3 linked regions of the Arabidopsis thaliana genome follow. The protein of the gene in region 3 interacts with the protein of the main gene of each other region in a pairwise test. Each region holds a gene or a part of one and is shown on either strand. Other genes may lie near its edges. The genes, in order: AT5G56900, AT1G63820 and SNI1.

What was found.
Region 1: the proteins of SNI1 (region 3) and AT5G56900 interact in a two-hybrid assay, tested with the Arabidopsis thaliana proteins (one large-scale study listed by BioGRID).
Region 2: the proteins of SNI1 (region 3) and AT1G63820 interact in a two-hybrid assay, tested with the Arabidopsis thaliana proteins (one large-scale study listed by BioGRID).

What each region holds. Positions count from the first base shown.
Region 1 is NC_003076.8:23,018,720-23,024,705, forward strand, and holds AT5G56900 (CwfJ-like family protein / zinc finger (CCCH-type) family protein), read right to left. Parts: upstream 4,047-5,986; 5' UTR 3,952-4,046; coding exon 3,880-3,951; intron 3,859-3,879; exon of another isoform or gene 3,793-3,858; coding exon 3,519-3,792; intron 3,449-3,518; coding exon 3,322-3,448; exon of another isoform or gene 3,235-3,321; coding exon 3,115-3,234; intron 3,019-3,114; coding exon 2,901-3,018; intron 2,632-2,900; coding exon 2,207-2,631; intron 2,118-2,206; coding exon 1,832-2,117; intron 1,755-1,831; coding exon 1,661-1,754; intron 1,572-1,660; coding exon 1,426-1,571; intron 1,160-1,425; coding exon 1,031-1,159; 3' UTR 953-1,030; intron 857-952; 3' UTR 526-856; downstream 1-525. Other genes in the region: AT5G56910 (Proteinase inhibitor I25, cystatin, conserved region), read left to right, coding at 4,277-4,453, 4,551-4,890, 4,987-5,040, 5,186-5,289.
Region 2 is NC_003070.9:23,681,722-23,686,341, forward strand, and holds AT1G63820 (CCT motif family protein), read right to left. Parts: upstream 2,653-4,620; 5' UTR 2,330-2,652; coding exon 1,883-2,329; intron 1,810-1,882; coding exon 1,618-1,809; intron 1,188-1,617; coding exon 1,056-1,187; intron 919-1,055; coding exon 808-918; 3' UTR 557-807; downstream 1-556. Other genes in the region: AT1G63830 (PLAC8 family protein), read left to right, coding at 3,687-3,789, 3,901-3,922, 4,064-4,120, 4,193-4,274.
Region 3 is NC_003075.7:10,191,076-10,196,210, reverse strand, and holds SNI1 (negative regulator of systemic acquired resistance (SNI1)), read right to left. Parts: upstream 3,303-5,135; 5' UTR 3,228-3,302; coding exon 3,095-3,227; intron 3,021-3,094; coding exon 2,954-3,020; intron 2,860-2,953; coding exon 2,766-2,859; intron 2,675-2,765; coding exon 2,618-2,674; intron 2,523-2,617; coding exon 2,453-2,522; intron 2,369-2,452; coding exon 2,304-2,368; intron 2,209-2,303; coding exon 2,127-2,208; intron 2,034-2,126; coding exon 1,984-2,033; intron 1,906-1,983; coding exon 1,762-1,905; intron 1,685-1,761; coding exon 1,614-1,684; intron 1,549-1,613; coding exon 1,479-1,548; intron 1,395-1,478; coding exon 1,329-1,394; intron 1,213-1,328; coding exon 1,054-1,212; intron 973-1,053; coding exon 875-972; intron 773-874; coding exon 700-772; 3' UTR 549-699; downstream 1-548. Other genes in the region: AT4G18460 (D-Tyr-tRNA(Tyr) deacylase family protein), read left to right, coding at 45-185, 279-304, 386-448; AT4G18450 (Integrase-type DNA-binding superfamily protein), read left to right, coding at 5,050-5,135. UniProt on the Arabidopsis thaliana protein: Component of the SMC5-SMC6 complex, a complex involved in repair of DNA double-strand breaks by homologous recombination.

The sequences.
Region 1 (5,986 bases), on a different chromosome or scaffold from region 3:
AAACAACAATAAATGGGAAAATTAATCTAGAAAAGATGCAAATTAGCTTAAATTACTAGAAAATTAGAGGGTAGTTGATGCATTTATAGAGACCTAAATTTTTTGGGACCATCAAAATTCACTTTCACATTAAAGGAAATGAGAAGGTAAAGAGCCATGTGTAGAGGCATAGACAGAATCTATAAACCCTTGTTGATGATGAAGTTTTCTTTTGTTTCCTTTACTCTTTTGCTAAAGCTGCAACAACAACAGCGGGAGCAGCAAAAGAAAGCTTAAGTTAACCCTTAAAGATGAAGAGATCAATGTTTCTCTTCTCTTTTACCATGTGATAAAAACCACATTCTCAAGGTACATCTTTTAAATGCTAGAGAGTTGAATCTGATTCACTAAAACCAGCTTTAATCTCACTGTTATGACAAAAGTGGATTTCATTCAGTGATCAAAGATTGATGCTGAAACCCACATTGATCAGATACTATCTGTTTTTTTATTTGATTATTAACCATTCTAGAATTAAAGTATGTCTTGGCTAGAAATGATTGCGATTAATTACTGTAAAGGAAAAAAAAATGTACATTATTACCAACCAACAAGAAGTCAGTAGTTTAGGTGAAAACAGGTGAAGCAAATTCTACCATGACTGTTGTGTGTTTCTGTGATGATCACTCTCTTACATCTCAACAAACAATAATATATCAAAAAAAATGTTTAATAGAAGAACAAGATAGGTAACAACTAACCAGTAAAATAGTAAGGAAACTGATGGAAGACTGTTAGCTTTTAACTGACCAAACAAAGAACACTGTTGACAAACCTATTTCTAAACGACGATGCTTCGCATGATTCAGCTTCTGACCTAGAGAAAATATTAAGTCCAAAGGTGGTTAGAAGAAAACATAAACGTCAAAAGATAATAGAAATTTGGTATTAAACTGGAACAGAAACACAATACCTGAGTGCACTGGAGACTGAGTTTAGCATGATTGATGCCCACAAGATAGCATCTAATCGTATCTTTTGTTCAGTAAGGTTATTGGCAAGGGTCAAATTCTTGAAATTGTTTCTTGAAATCTTCAGCCAGCTTTGCCTCCTCTTCTTGGCTAATTTTACAGTTTCTCCAATCGGCCCTATCTGGGATCTTTAGCAACCCTGCTAGAACCTGTAAAATCCAATGTCATTTCTATAGCAACAAAACGCCTTAAGGATCTCAAAATATTGTTAAGGTGGATCAGAAGTTATCTATCTATTCGAATCCAAAATGTCATATATTATGATCTTAGCATGAAAGTTCTTTTGTGAATGGTCACTCTGTATTAAACAGAACATAATGTTTGACTCTTCATGCGTATGAATATTGTGTTATCAATGGCATCTTTCTTTAGTAGTATAATAGCAAAGTCGCAATCCATTCATGAATTGTCTTACCTCCCGTCCAAACTGCGCAGGGAATACTTCGTTTTCTTCCAAGGTGTGTGATAGCACAGTTCCATCAGGAAGTTCCACATAGAAGAGACCCAATGCCGCATTATATTCCTTCTGCAGATATTTTCTGCCATCAGTACTATCATTAACTGCAACAAAGACAACATCACTGAGTTATAAGATAGGGTCCATTGATTCTATAACATTGAGAAGAAAAACAGTAAGAAAATCAGCTTACACTTTTTAGTCACAAGCTTAAAGCCCAGTTTTTCAGCCGCCAGACTAAAGATATTAGGAAGAAGACGAGCTCTGGATGATGGAACAGGAACAACCTACATAAGGTAGACTACTGTAAGTAACTTTTAAATTCAAAAAGATCCACCTGATTTGCAATAGGAACTTTTCTTACTTGGAGGTTAGCATGAGAAACACGTTTAGAGACCAATTCAAAGAAAACTGCATCATTTCCTTGGCTCTTATAACAATTTCTCAGACCATTTTGGTATCTACTGAGCTCTGATTCAACCTCAGGGGATAAAACCAGAGTATTGGGCAAATGTTCGATTGGGATTATCAATATGTGATCTTCGACTAGCGAACCTTTGGGTAGAGCACAATAAAAACTTTCCCCTACACTGACGATTAAATGTGACTCCACACTCGGGCTTGATAGACAAAACCAGCATTCTTTTGACCTGAGAAAAGCAATTTTGATTTGACAATTACTGTCTCCACCCCGAGTCCAAATGGCATATATGTTCTCAGAAGCTAGATTAGAATATACCTGTTAGCATTCTCAGATCTGGGCTTCCTTTGTATGCTACTTTCATCTTGAAACTCATGCTTGTAGCTGCACTCTGGGCCTTTTTCACACTTACCTTTGATGATAAGATCAAGACAAACACCTCTACGACACTGTTCTCTTGCTTCAGCGTTGTGTTGGAAATGGCAATCTTCACCACGAGGACAGGAACCTGAGCAGACAAATTTGAAACAGAGCTTTTCCCCTTGAGATCCACTCTTTTGCCGCTTTGGGACATCATACCTCCAATACTGTGAATCAGAGTCACTATCGTTTGGCCTCTTCTTCGATTCAGCAGCTCCATCTTGTAAATTATAAGGCCATAGCGTAGTTTTTGGAGGCTTTGCACTAAGCTCTGCTGGTGACATGGTAGATGTTGGTGTAGGAGAAAGCGCATGAAGAAATTTCTAAAAAGTGGAAAAAAGAAGTAAAATTGAAGAATATATGAAAACTGCATGAAATCATCAGAAAACGCAAAAAAAAAAAAAAAAACAGTCTGATGTGCTACATGTGTTTGCATAGATTCTGCATCCAAAGTATATCCATCTTAGGAGGAGCCATACATACAGTTAAGAGTACCACTCAGGAGGCAAGTGATCAAACAGAGAGGTACCAAAATCTTCAGAAAAAATTAATAAGATACCAAGCTCGAGTTGAAAGGAACTATAGAACACACCTGTTTGTTTTTATTTCCAACTTGAGCAAGACCAATAAAGCGAGTTACATGAGTAGATTCAGCGTTGAGGTAAGGTTCACGGGCATAAAATACCCCCATAGAACCTGCAATGTGATAGCTACCACAAAAGGAAACAGAAACCGCAAATTAAGTTCATAACTAAGTGATCAAAATTCCCCAGTAACAACAATATTAGAATCGAAAAAGCACTTACCGAGGTTTAACTTCCATTACCAACTCAGAAACAGTGGAATCACTACAAGAGGAATCAGAAATTCCAACAGGAATATCAGAAACCGCAGCTCTGTTTGTGACTCCCGCAGGCCATTCATTAGTAATACACTAATTAAGGACGACAAGTAGAACAATAGAGAAATGTATCCACAGTTCTAATTTCATCAACTAATACGAAAAAGGATATGTTAAGAACAAATCAACTCCTCCAGGTTCCTCAGCAAGTGCACGAAGAGCATCAACATCATCTTGACTATATTTCCCAAATTGACTCTCAGATGATTGTCTACCAGATAAGTAAGCAACAGACAAACCTAAACAAAACAACTTATCAAAAAAAACTGATAAAGATTGATACTTTTATGATATTAGCAAAACCCTTACCATGGAGACTGAACTTCCCACTTCCTCTTAACCAAAACAAATTGTGGCAAACTTCGAGTCCATCCATCTTAAACCCTTGATTCTCAGCTTTCTTCGAAGTCGTCGATAAGATTTTGGGTGCGACGACACCATAGTCTCCGGTGAAGTAAGTAGGAATCGGAACTTGAGCTCGACCTTCGACGTAATCCAAAAACTCATCTAGAATTTCTGGAGAATCGGGAAAAAACTGTCCGACGCAAATCAGAGCATCAAAGGGACCAGCAGATTTGCTAACCTGCAAAAATTGGAGTTCGATTTAAAAATTGGAGATACAGAATCAGGTGAAATCGGAGAGCAGAAGGAGAAAGATAGTGATAGAGACCGATTGGACACGCTTGAAGAGCTGATTGAGACGTCCAAGAGGATCTCCACAGAGTAAAATTCTGGGCGCCATGACAGTGATGACACTGGACGGAGGAGAAGGAGGAGGAAAGCAACGACAATGACGGAGACGACTATTTGAGACTTTTCTTTCACTCTTAATGGGCTTCTAATGAGCCCAGTTAAGTGGGCTTCTCATGAGCCATTCATCTAATATTTGAGCCTTCTCTTTCACTACTAAATGGGCTTCTCATGAGCTTTTTTTTTCTCAAATCATCATCATCATTCATCCATCTATATTTCAAAAAAGAAAACAAACACGATAATTGTCTTCTATTACCTCTCTCTCATTCACCTCTCGCTAAGTGTGCGTTAGCCGTTAGGGTTCCGATCTAATCATGGCGGACTCTGTTTTGAAGGAGGTTAACTGTGGCCGGCCTGAAAAGATCCCGAAGTTGGACAAAGCTTGCGAAGGATCGAAATCGTCCTGGAAACATCTCAAGCTAGGAAACGTGGAAGATGATGAGTATCTTCGACAGTATTGTTTGTTTCACTACGAATTCCATAAATCCGAGGTACTATTCAACTTTAATTTTTAAGCTTCCTTTCCTTCAAAATTAGGGTTAATTCGAAAATCGGAATCTGATAAGAAGTCTTTTTTGGCTTAATTAGGGTTTCACGGTTGATTGGGAGAAATATGACTACATGTTCCATATAAGGCCGTTGGAAAATTCACCACCTATCAGCGATATACGAACCAATGCTGATGTGATCCGTGATGTGACACTCTTTGCCATTGAGAAACACAATGAAGCTCATGGATCTAAACTTGTGTTTGTCGAGCATGTCTCAGCTAATTTCAAATTTGCCAATGGTCTCCTCTGCTGGTTAACATTCTGGGCTACCGATATGGCCTCATCCGCTCCTACATCGCAGATCTATCAAGTCGAACTTTGGCGTCGCGGAAAACAGTTTGAAATTCCCATCTTCAGGGTCAAGCCTAAGGACGAAGGTGACAAATTTCGTTTTAACTCTATTGGTTTCTTCTTTTTATTCTTTGGCTGCTACCTATTCTGATGTTTAACTCGTGTGTGTTTATGCGATGCAGAGATGGATGATGTTGAAGTGAAACCACCCTCTCCCATGCCTTATGATGACTATGGTACTGCTACTTTCTCTTGGTTTACCTTTTGTGACCTTAGATTAGTTTACTAGGTGTTTTACTTTTCTGATCAAACTAAACCACCTTTACCTTTGCTTTTCTAATCAATGCTAGTATTCATTAATTGTGTTTTGTTGTCATGTAGATAAACCACCGGTTGTCTTTGTTCGAGCTGCTCCTGAAGATGGTGTCCCTTTCGTCTTTGATCGAACTGGAGCTCTTTATGATCTCTATCGGTCTGGTTTGTAAGGAAAAAGTATATATACCATTCCTTTGGTGACAAAGAGATATGATGTTAGTCACTGACTGAAAAATCAAATTAGGCTTGTATTAATATTATACCCTCTGAATTTTCAACTTCTTCTATCTCTCTAAATGTACTAGCTTCTCTTCTAGAGATCTATGAACACAAATAGAATTGATATTCAAAAATCCATTTGTTTGAGAAAAGAATGTAACTTTAATTTACCTTTTTTGGTGGTGGTGGATCTTCATAAATTTGTTTTCTTTTTCTTCTATCCATATCTTAAAAGGAAAAAAACAATGAGTTCATGAAAACCAACTTAGTGAAACAAAAATAAAATTCACCAATTTTAATATAGACATATAAGCTTTCTGCATTTTGAAGAGGTTATCAAAAATATATCTAAAGAGAAAAAAATCTCACGAGGGAAGAAATCTCACCCAAAAATTTAGCTTATTTCCGTTTTCCTTTCTTGATGTCACATTCAGCCTGATACAAAGAGGAAAATGAGCTTGTAGCGGCCCACTAGACTCGTAGCAGACTTTTTGCGTTTTTACTTTGACGGTGTATTTTTTCTTTATTTATATGTTAGACCATCTTCATTGGGGGTATCTCATAGGAGTTTCTCACAATTAAAAATATAAAAATAATAAAAATGAAGGAGAGAGAGTGTAGAAAGTTTCCACTTGAGAAACTTTGAGA
Region 2 (4,620 bases), on a different chromosome or scaffold from region 3:
CAAATTTTTGTTTCACATATATACTAAACCACTATTTTTAGTGTGCAACTTGTTTCAAGTCCAACGGATGATTGGACTTGAGCATATTGATATACTACAAAGCTATTCTACATATATTAATTTGAAATGTGATTCTCTAAAGCGATAATAATTCATAATTTCATATATGTACTAACAGACTAAACTGACAAGAGAGGATCTTGGTCCTCCATGATAGAAAAATGTTGTTTTGACTACTATATATCAATGATTCGGACTATTAAAATATTAATCTAAGATCATATAACCAATGTTTAGTAGTCCACTAATTCAAATTCATCATATAAATTAAAATTCAGACCAAGGAATCTTCCTTCGAGGGTCAAAGATTTTTCCATCTGTGATAATTAATCATAGCACAATTTATTTATTTACATATTCACATGTAACACCACTATGACAATGTCACTAGGTACCTTATATATTAAATCACTATTTTATTCTCTTGGAAATAAATATCCATAATTTTTACCTTACTTTTTGATTCTGGTGCAGTAGTATGTTCGAGACATGAATTGCGAGATTATAGTTTATATGATGTATAAGAGAATAGTATATAGACTCTTAACCCAAAACTCTCTGACTAATTATGTCATTTAAAACGTACACAGTGCAAAGATCCGACTTATGATTACTCAACTTCATGGTAAATCCAATCATTACACTACAATACATTGCTAATATATATGATTTAATTCGATTCGTCTGCATATTAAAACTAAATGGGAAAAATATTCATCTCTTCCTTCTCAAACAGAGGCTTTAATTTCACCAGTAGGAATTTGTCATGTATTGCATTTGCAACTGAGGCTGAGACTGAGACTGACATTCCACTAAGTTCACACAAGCTTCTTCTTCCTCATGCAGCCCATCCAAATTCTGCCATAATGTTAAAAAATAAGTAAATAATTATCAGTTATTTACTTAATCTCAATTTAAATACAATTTATTATACTTGTATAAAAAGATGAAAAAGTAAGGTTTGTAATTTAGGAATCAACTTGAATTTTACTTACCCAAAGGTCGTCGTCGTTTTCTTGTCTAGTGAAAGAAGAAGCAATCTTGGGGTTCTCAAACACTTCGTCGTTTCTTGCAAATCTGCCACGTACTCTTGGTCTGTTGTCCGCCAACGTTTTCCGGCATGCATACTTCAATTTTTGCATTTAATATATAAGAAAATTATAACGGTGCAAACCAAAATTACAAATGTAAAGTTGTAATTTGTATAAAATTGTAAAACAATTATTTAATTAATTGAATATGTGCATATAATTTGAGTTTTGTTCTTTTTTTCTTTTATACAACGGGGAATAATAACCAAGCAAAAATTCAAGTTAATTTCCAAAGTCTCTGAAATAGTTTGATTTATATTCCAGTTTCTTTAAAAGAACATGTAATTCAGTTCTATTTCTGGTTTAATTGTTATTTTGACCAATTAATATAGAGAAAATTAGATATTTTTTTCGTTTGATTGAGAAAAAAATAAACTTGTTAAACCGAAATTAAATTCATTTAGAATTTTATATTGCTAATAGTTAAAACTAGTTATTAAATAGTAGTTATTTAACTTATTATTACCTTAATGGTTTTGGTGAAGTTTCTCTGTGTTCGTTTAGCTCTATACTTAGAAATCTTCTCTTTACGTTCTTCGGAACTGTAACGCCCCACCCTCAAGCTTTGTTCATCGCCGGAAAACACCGTCGTTGGTGAACTCTCCGCCGCCAAAGGACTCGAGTATGATCTCTGTCCCGTAAAATCCCTTCCTAAATTCTAAAAAAATTCCAAAATATTAGTTTTTGTGTGAAATCACAGAGGAAAACAGAGGATATTATAGCTAAAGTACCTGCAAATCTCCGGTGCTGTAAACTCGTCGCATGTGATCGGAGAAGAAGGAATCTTCCGGCGAGTTTAACAAATTCTGATTCTGAAAATTCGAGGAATCTTCCATGAATGGAGCATCAAAGGGAGAGTTAAACAAGAGCTGCTCTGTTTTGACAGTGTCGAAGTTTTCGAAACCGGAGAAGTTGGGGAAACTGTTTGTGTGTGTGAGAGTTAAGGTCTGGAGCTGAGAGATTGGAGGAGAAGAAGAGAGGATATGATGAGTCGTCGGAGTAAAACTTTCAAAGAAACTAAGAGATTGATGATCATCCATTGAAGGATTGAGATAAGGATTGTTGCAGTAGAGATCTGTTGTTGTTGTTGTGTCGGAGGAAAACATATCAGGATCAGTACTGTGGCAGATTGAGGAAGAAGATGAAGACCCATCAAAGATATAAAGATCAGAATCCATGCCCTTTTTATTTTGGTAACACAAACTCAAGATTCTCAATGAAGAAGAAGAGAGATAAACAAGTGAATCTTTTGGGGTTATGTTCTGTCTTTTTTTACTGTCTCTGCAATTGAATTGAGCAAATGAAACGGTTACAGAGAAAACACAAGTGACACTCGTGATCTTTGTTTTTTTGAAAACCACCAGAATCCAAAATTGGCAAAAAGAAAACTGTTTTTTCTTAATGTAAATTTGGACCTTTTACCCAAAAAAGTGTGATTTTTTTTTTTGTTTCTCTCTTTTTCTTCACAGTTCTTGTTTCAGAACCAAGGCATGACAGGTCCAGTTTATTTGGTCTGGTGGGCTATGTTTATATAGCAGACAATTAGTGGGTTTAACAAATGTACCCTCGTATTTTATTTATGTTATGAATTTCTCCATATACATTTAATTTACACATTTTTGTCTATGTTTGTAAATAATTTATTGTAGTAATTTTCTCTCTGGTGTTTTTATATCTTAAAGTCTAAACCCACTAGGGTATTTTGCATGACATAAGCTAAAGGTAAGAATTGACAAACCTTTTATACTCATTTGCTATTGAAATAGAAACAAATCGAATTTAGCGTGTGATTCGTAGAGCCATTGACGACAGTGGACTTTTGTTTGAAAAAGGAGAAATTGAAATTTGGTGTCAATGTAACGGATCTGACTTTGAAAAAGTAAAATTTACATGCGGTAATTGGTGACGGTAAAAACTTATTTTGTAATTTTTTTTTTTTGTCGGCAAAATATTTTGTAATATTACCAACATTTGCAAAAAATTTAGAATGCAGAGATAGAAAAACTCTTTCTTCGACTTCAAACTCTCATTAAATCCGTAGAGGAATAGTTATTTTCTAGAAACCATCGAAATTGTTACCAAACCCTCATTTGATTAATGCGTTCAACATTTTGAAAATCTTTTTATTTGTGCATTAATGTGATTTTTATTTTTGATCTTACTAATTATATAAATTTAAAATTTATTATATAATTCCGGCATTCCCCAAGGTCATATTTTAACCAATCAGAACCCGAGGATATTAAATTTGTTGGTCCCGACAATTAAAGAAAAAGTTGTGGGTCAAACTGGTCCTAAATAATAGTCAAACTTCTCATTTTTTCTAAGAAACTGATTTGATAAAAAAAAATATCTTCGTTGAAGTGAGGGTGACGAGAAGTTTCTGCTTTCATCAATTAAAGGTTTACGCGTGAAGCAGATCATCAGGTTCTTATAGATTTTGTAACCGATTTTGATTTATTGCTTTTGCTCTGTATAGTCACTGATTTAGGGTTTTTCGAATCTGAACTTCTTCTTTTTTGAGTTTCCAAAGCAATGGCGGCGTCGCAAGATAAGTTGGATAAGATGAAACTTAGGCAAGATTACCGGAATTTATGGCACTCCGATCTCATGGGCACCGTCACCGCCGACACTCCCTGTAAATCTCAGTCTCTTTTGTTTTTGTTTTTATGTCTCTTAACTTCATTGTTTTTTCTATTGAAGAACTGATTTTTGTTTTTTTCGGGAATTATGAACTTACTTTTTGCAGATTGCTGCATCTCGTGTCTGTGGTAAGTTGTTGTTGATCTATTTGCTTTTAGGGTTTCGTTGTATCTGAGATTGTTTTTAGGCTTATTTTTGCTTGATTCAATTTTGAGTCTGTATTCATGGTTTTGGTTACATATTTGATTTGTTATACATTTTGAATGTAGTGGACCTTGTGTGTCATACATGCTTCGGAGAAGAGCACTTTACAATGACATGTCAAGGTATGTAATTTCTAAACTATTTTGAGAATATTAGTCTGATTTTTTTCTTTGCTAAGATATTGCGCGTCACAGGTATACTTGCTGTGCTGGATATATGCCCTGTAGTGGAAGGTGTGGAGAAAGCAAATGTCCTCAACTTTGCCTTGCCACTGAGGTGAGACTTCGATTATTTCTGATTTTTTTGGTGAATGTAACATTAGTTTTAACATCAGTGAATGACACTCGTTTTGTTTGTGTAAACTTATTGAAATGGAAAGTGGAACATGAAACAGTTTATGATTTGGATATTTTCTTTTTCTCGTAGTTGTGTCACTGTGTCTTTCTGGGACATCTGTTCAAATCTTATATAATGTGATTCCGTCATCTTTCCTAGTTTCCTCTGCTCTATATTAGAATTCCGTTGCTCAACTTATTTGACTTAGGAGATCACATTATTTACCGATGAGTGTGATGTTCTTGATATTTTGGCATTTAAAACCTGCTTGCAATAATTCAATAGA
Region 3 (5,135 bases):
TTTCTTTGCTTGCCCTGGTCTTTGGATCATGTGTGTTAATACAGTTAGTCAATTCACATTATACGGATTCTTGAAAGGTAACAAACCAGATTTTCATGTCGCAATGCCACCTGATAAAGCGAAACCTTTTTACGCCTCTTTAGTTGAGAAATTCCAGAAAGCATATAATCCTGATGCTGTCAAAGGTCAAAACACACTCTCATTGATCTTTTCTTAATCAAAACTTCTCATTTTCTCTAGTCTTCTTGACTAAATTGGTTCTCTTTTTTAAAATACAGATGGTGTGTTTGGAGCTATGATGCAGGTAAGGAGATAACTCCTTTCAATAGCAAGGTTTGATTAGTATCTTGTGTGATTAAAACATGTTCTCTAATCATATTCAAAGGTCAATCTTGTAAACGATGGTCCGGTCACGATGCAGCTCGACTCACCTCAATCCACCAAGTAAGCCAAGATTGTTTTGCATAAACTTATCAGGCATGGATTTGTTACTAAAGCAAGTCTTGATATGTTCCATAAGTGAGAAAAAGGCATCAACAGAATCATAAGATCACTCATTTTGTATTGGCAAAACTATAGAATATATAAATTCATAATTCATTGATCTGTAACTCTTAATTCCTACATTACATTGTAACTTCTTTGCTTCTAATCCAATTGAAGTCTCTAGATTTGTTAAAATCTTGATTCCTAGATGCTTTAAGCTTTTGCCTTGAGTACCATTCCTGCAGTAAACAACACTTCTTTCCCAAACGGTAGAATCTCGATTTTCCTATAACAACCATTAAACTTTCGGTTGGACAAAGGAAAGCGGTATAGTATCTCGATTGCACAAAGAGAAAAAAAACTGAGAGTGAAAGAAACTGCAGCTTACTGATCTACTCGCTTTAGACTAGTAAATGCAGAGATGATACTACTGCATATCTCTGAAATAGAGTCTCCTTCGTGAGGGTCAGAGAATGTAAGCCGAGCCTGACGAATAGTTAAATACATTAGGAGGCCAAAAAAAGCTCTGAGAACGTGAAAGAAGAAACAAAGGTATTATTGTGTTACCAGAAAGGCATGGCCGATGAGGATCTGAACAATGTCAGGTCCTATCTTTTTAGTGATGTTCTTTGGATTTGTGCCATTTGAAAACGTCTTCAAGATCCCATTTAGTGTTTTCGAATCCTCTGCTTGAGGAACAGTTGTTCTTCGGGTACGTACAACAGGCTACAACATGAAAGAAATTTGGTCAGAGAGAGAAATCAGAGAAATAACTATATATTGTACATCATTTGTTGGAGAAGATAATCAGAGAGCGAGAGATCAGAGAATTAACAACAAACCTTAGGAATGTATTTAGTAAGGTATTGGAGAACAATCTCTAGCTTCCATTTAGGATCATCGAAAACCTGATTAAGAAATTTTCACTCAAGAACCACAGAGAGAAGAATTTTACAGACCACAGTGAGTTTCAGAAGTGGTTTGTCTCTTACCTGAAGAAATTTTGACAGCAAGTATCCATCATAAGTCAGCTCGTCGAGAATGATCTCCATTGCAGGGGTCCTGCATCAAATTGGATCACAAACATGGAGAAAACACAATTCAAAAGTGAGGCAGAAACTCATTACCTTACGCCATCTCCTCTAGAGGTAATCCCTTCTAAGTCAGCTTTCTTCTTTGATGTATCAAGCTCCATGATCTAAACAAGGAACAGAAACGTAAGAGCAAAAAGCTCCGAAAATTGAAACACTAATACTCTGGTAACCGAAAACTTACCATTACTAGAAGTTCTTTCATAGCAGTAAGCATGTCCTTGTGCAATTCTACCAAACTGATAGACTTTTCATCAGCATCAATGGATGCACACATTGTTGATAGATAATCTTTCATTAGAAGTTTGAAATTCACTTTTCTTGAAGCCTACAAGCAGAACCATAACATTAAAAATCACAAATAAATTACTATACTAGTTTCTGAGCCATTGATTGTGGGATGTACCAGAAGTAGATTCAGAAAAGATTCCTTTAAGAGACTCCAGTTCATAGTTTCTGGAGCACAAAAGGACACAAAAAGTTCTAAGAATTTCCCCAAACTTAACAAGATAAAGAGAAATCTTAAAACTATGAAGACATAATCTATACCTTCATACACTTGATTTCGGGGTGTGAAATCTAGCTTAAGAACATGAGCAAGATACTTGAACAGAAACATATTTCCAAGGATCTGCAGAAATCCAAACAAAAGAATCAAATAACAACAAGTTGTGTGAAAGTCTACCAATTTTTAAAGCTTATCTGCAACATAACAAATAAATCAACCTTTAAATCTGATTCCTCAGACTCATTAACTCTTTTGTTCATGTTCTGAATCAGCTGTTGCAAAACTGAAATCATAAAACAAACAAAAAATCATATTTAGCAAGAACCAACAAAAAGCTAACTCAAAAAGAGAAGACAAACGTCCTTACATAAGCTTCTCACTGATAAATCCTTTTCATCAGAATCAACATCAGACCCGAAATTAAACGGTGACCAAGCCTGCAAAACAAAACCATAAACAAACACATGAAATCAACCATCCCCACCATAACAAAGAATGAACAAAAACACATCAAAACTTTTGTAACAAGTACCTCGTCAACGATGTCCAACTGATCAGCTGAATCAGATACATAAACCCAAGGAAACCGCTGAAACAAAACATAATCATAATAAGCAAAACACTGAAACCTCATAAAAGTTATTGGACAAATTACACTACCAAAATCTTGCAACAAGTACCTGATGTAATTGAGTCAAAAGCTGGAAACTTGCTGTGATAAGTTCCAATGTTTTACCAAATCTCAATATCCTGAAAATCGCTTGGTACATTTTGCTTCAAAATTAAACAAAACCCAAATCAAAATCAGTACTCTTTTAGAGGTAAAAACTTCAAATTTCTTAGAAAAACAGAGTTTTTTATTTTTTACTTGGTTGGAGGAATTCCATTTTCGGGTACAAGTGAAGCAGCACGAACAGCTTCCAGATACTGCAAACCTAAGGTTTTTCATTCAAAGGATCAATACAATTAACAAAAACAAAGACGAAGATTGAAAATTGAGGAAACGTACGATCTTCGTTAGCGTCGCGACTGTCTTTAGCTCCGGTGGAATCAATCATAGCCAAGGTGTTAGCTTCCAAGCTACCGCCATAGCCACTCATCACTCTGCTTGTATTGTTATTACCCTTCGTCTCTTTCGACATCTTCTCTTTCACAATTTCACTAATTTCTTCTCAGCAGCACCAAAGAAGAAAACGAGAAGGAGAGATTGAAATCTTAATCCGAAATTAGAACGGAGAAAGATTTGTAGAAACCCTAATTCTCGACAGAAGTCAATTTTCCCGCCATAAGAGAATTGTTAGCAAAAAATAAATCACTTACTGGAATTTGAACCCGGCCCTCGAAGGTTAGAAGTTTGAACTTAGAACCAATAGAGACAATATTAGTTGGTTATAATAATTCATAAAAATATATATAATTTTTTTTTTGTAGTAAGTCTTCTTTTTCTTTAATACCGAGTGGTTCTGAATCAAAACTCAGAATACTTTCAGGCCCGAAATCATAACAGGTAATGTTAGTTCCGTTCCAAGCATCAATTAAAATCTTTTCTATATTGTAGTTTTTTTTTTAATCAATTTTGAAAATGCTTTTTGTGATTTGGATTCAGATTAAGTTTAGACTTGTGATTACAGAATTGGAAATTTTATACACATGACTTGTAGTGTGTTTATGAAGCTCGCTAGACTTATGAAGCTCTCGAGATTGAATACCAAAATTTAACAAATGACTACCTTAAGATAGAACCATTGCAACAATCTTTAATGCTCGAACAAAACACCTTTCTAATCGAAACGCTCTAGCACGCTTGGAGTCTCTCCAACACGAGACTTTCTTGAACTATATATGTGCCAAAGCAAGAAACTCTCGTAGTGGAGAACGAATGAATGAATCTTAAACGATTGATATAAAAATTAGCAGATAGTTTTTTAATATTAGCTGATACGTACTTGAGGTGACTTGAACCTACCATATAAAGTATCTCTAGCTCATTCTCTATAATACATTGAATAGAGATATTAATCTCTTTTTCATTTTTTTTCAATTGTAAGCTATGTTTCAAAGCGTGTGGAATTTATATATTCTATTCACCTCTCATCATTGTTTCAAATCTTTGGACTTACGGAAAATGATCTCATACAAATAATACTTGGATAAAAAGTTAGTGATGACTTAGCCCTTACATGTTTTTTCTTATTTCGTTTCACATTTTGATAGCGTTTAGTTATCATTATATTATATTCTCTAGGCAATATGCGTTAAACTGTGATCGTATGGTAAAATAATAACTTCTAACAAACTTAACTAAACACCGAAGAATTCTTTATCGATGTATGAAAAGCTAAATCAGTATTAAGGTTCATCAATCTAACAGTAGAAACAAGTCATTTAGAAGCTATATTTCTTTTTATAACCAAAAAAATAGTTAAAAAGTTTTTTAAAATGCGACGAGCGTGGAACGAAACATTAAAACAATAAACTTATGTTTGATTTAATAATCACAATTCTCCAAAACGGATTTGTGCCTCTGGTGGGAACACGTCATAGATTCTCATGAAGCGTTAAACTGAAGATTAATATGTTTATTATACAAAAGTGAATTAATACTCTGCATCTAGTCCTTTTCAAGAGTACACAATCTGCACTTTTTTAATGAAAATAGTACACAATCTTTATACTTCAAACTGAGGTAACATTATTAAATTAATTTATTGAAGTTGACTTAAGATGATCTATTCACATAATGGTACGTGTGTGTGTGTATACACAGAAAACCCCTGATTTTATGTGGAACCTAAAACCCTCCATGAAATGCGGTCAGTACCTTAGAACACAAGTTTCACCAACTGTACTTCCCAATTATCCTGCCGCAGATTTCCCATTCAACGTACACACAAAACCCCCAAAGCAACAATCTCTTTAAAATGCCCTAAATCTCACCAACACATACTCCTCTCTGATTCAACAATGGCTTTTGGCAATATCCAAGAACTAGACGGCGAGATCCTAAAGAACGTTTGGGCGAATTACATCGGAACACCACAAACCGATAC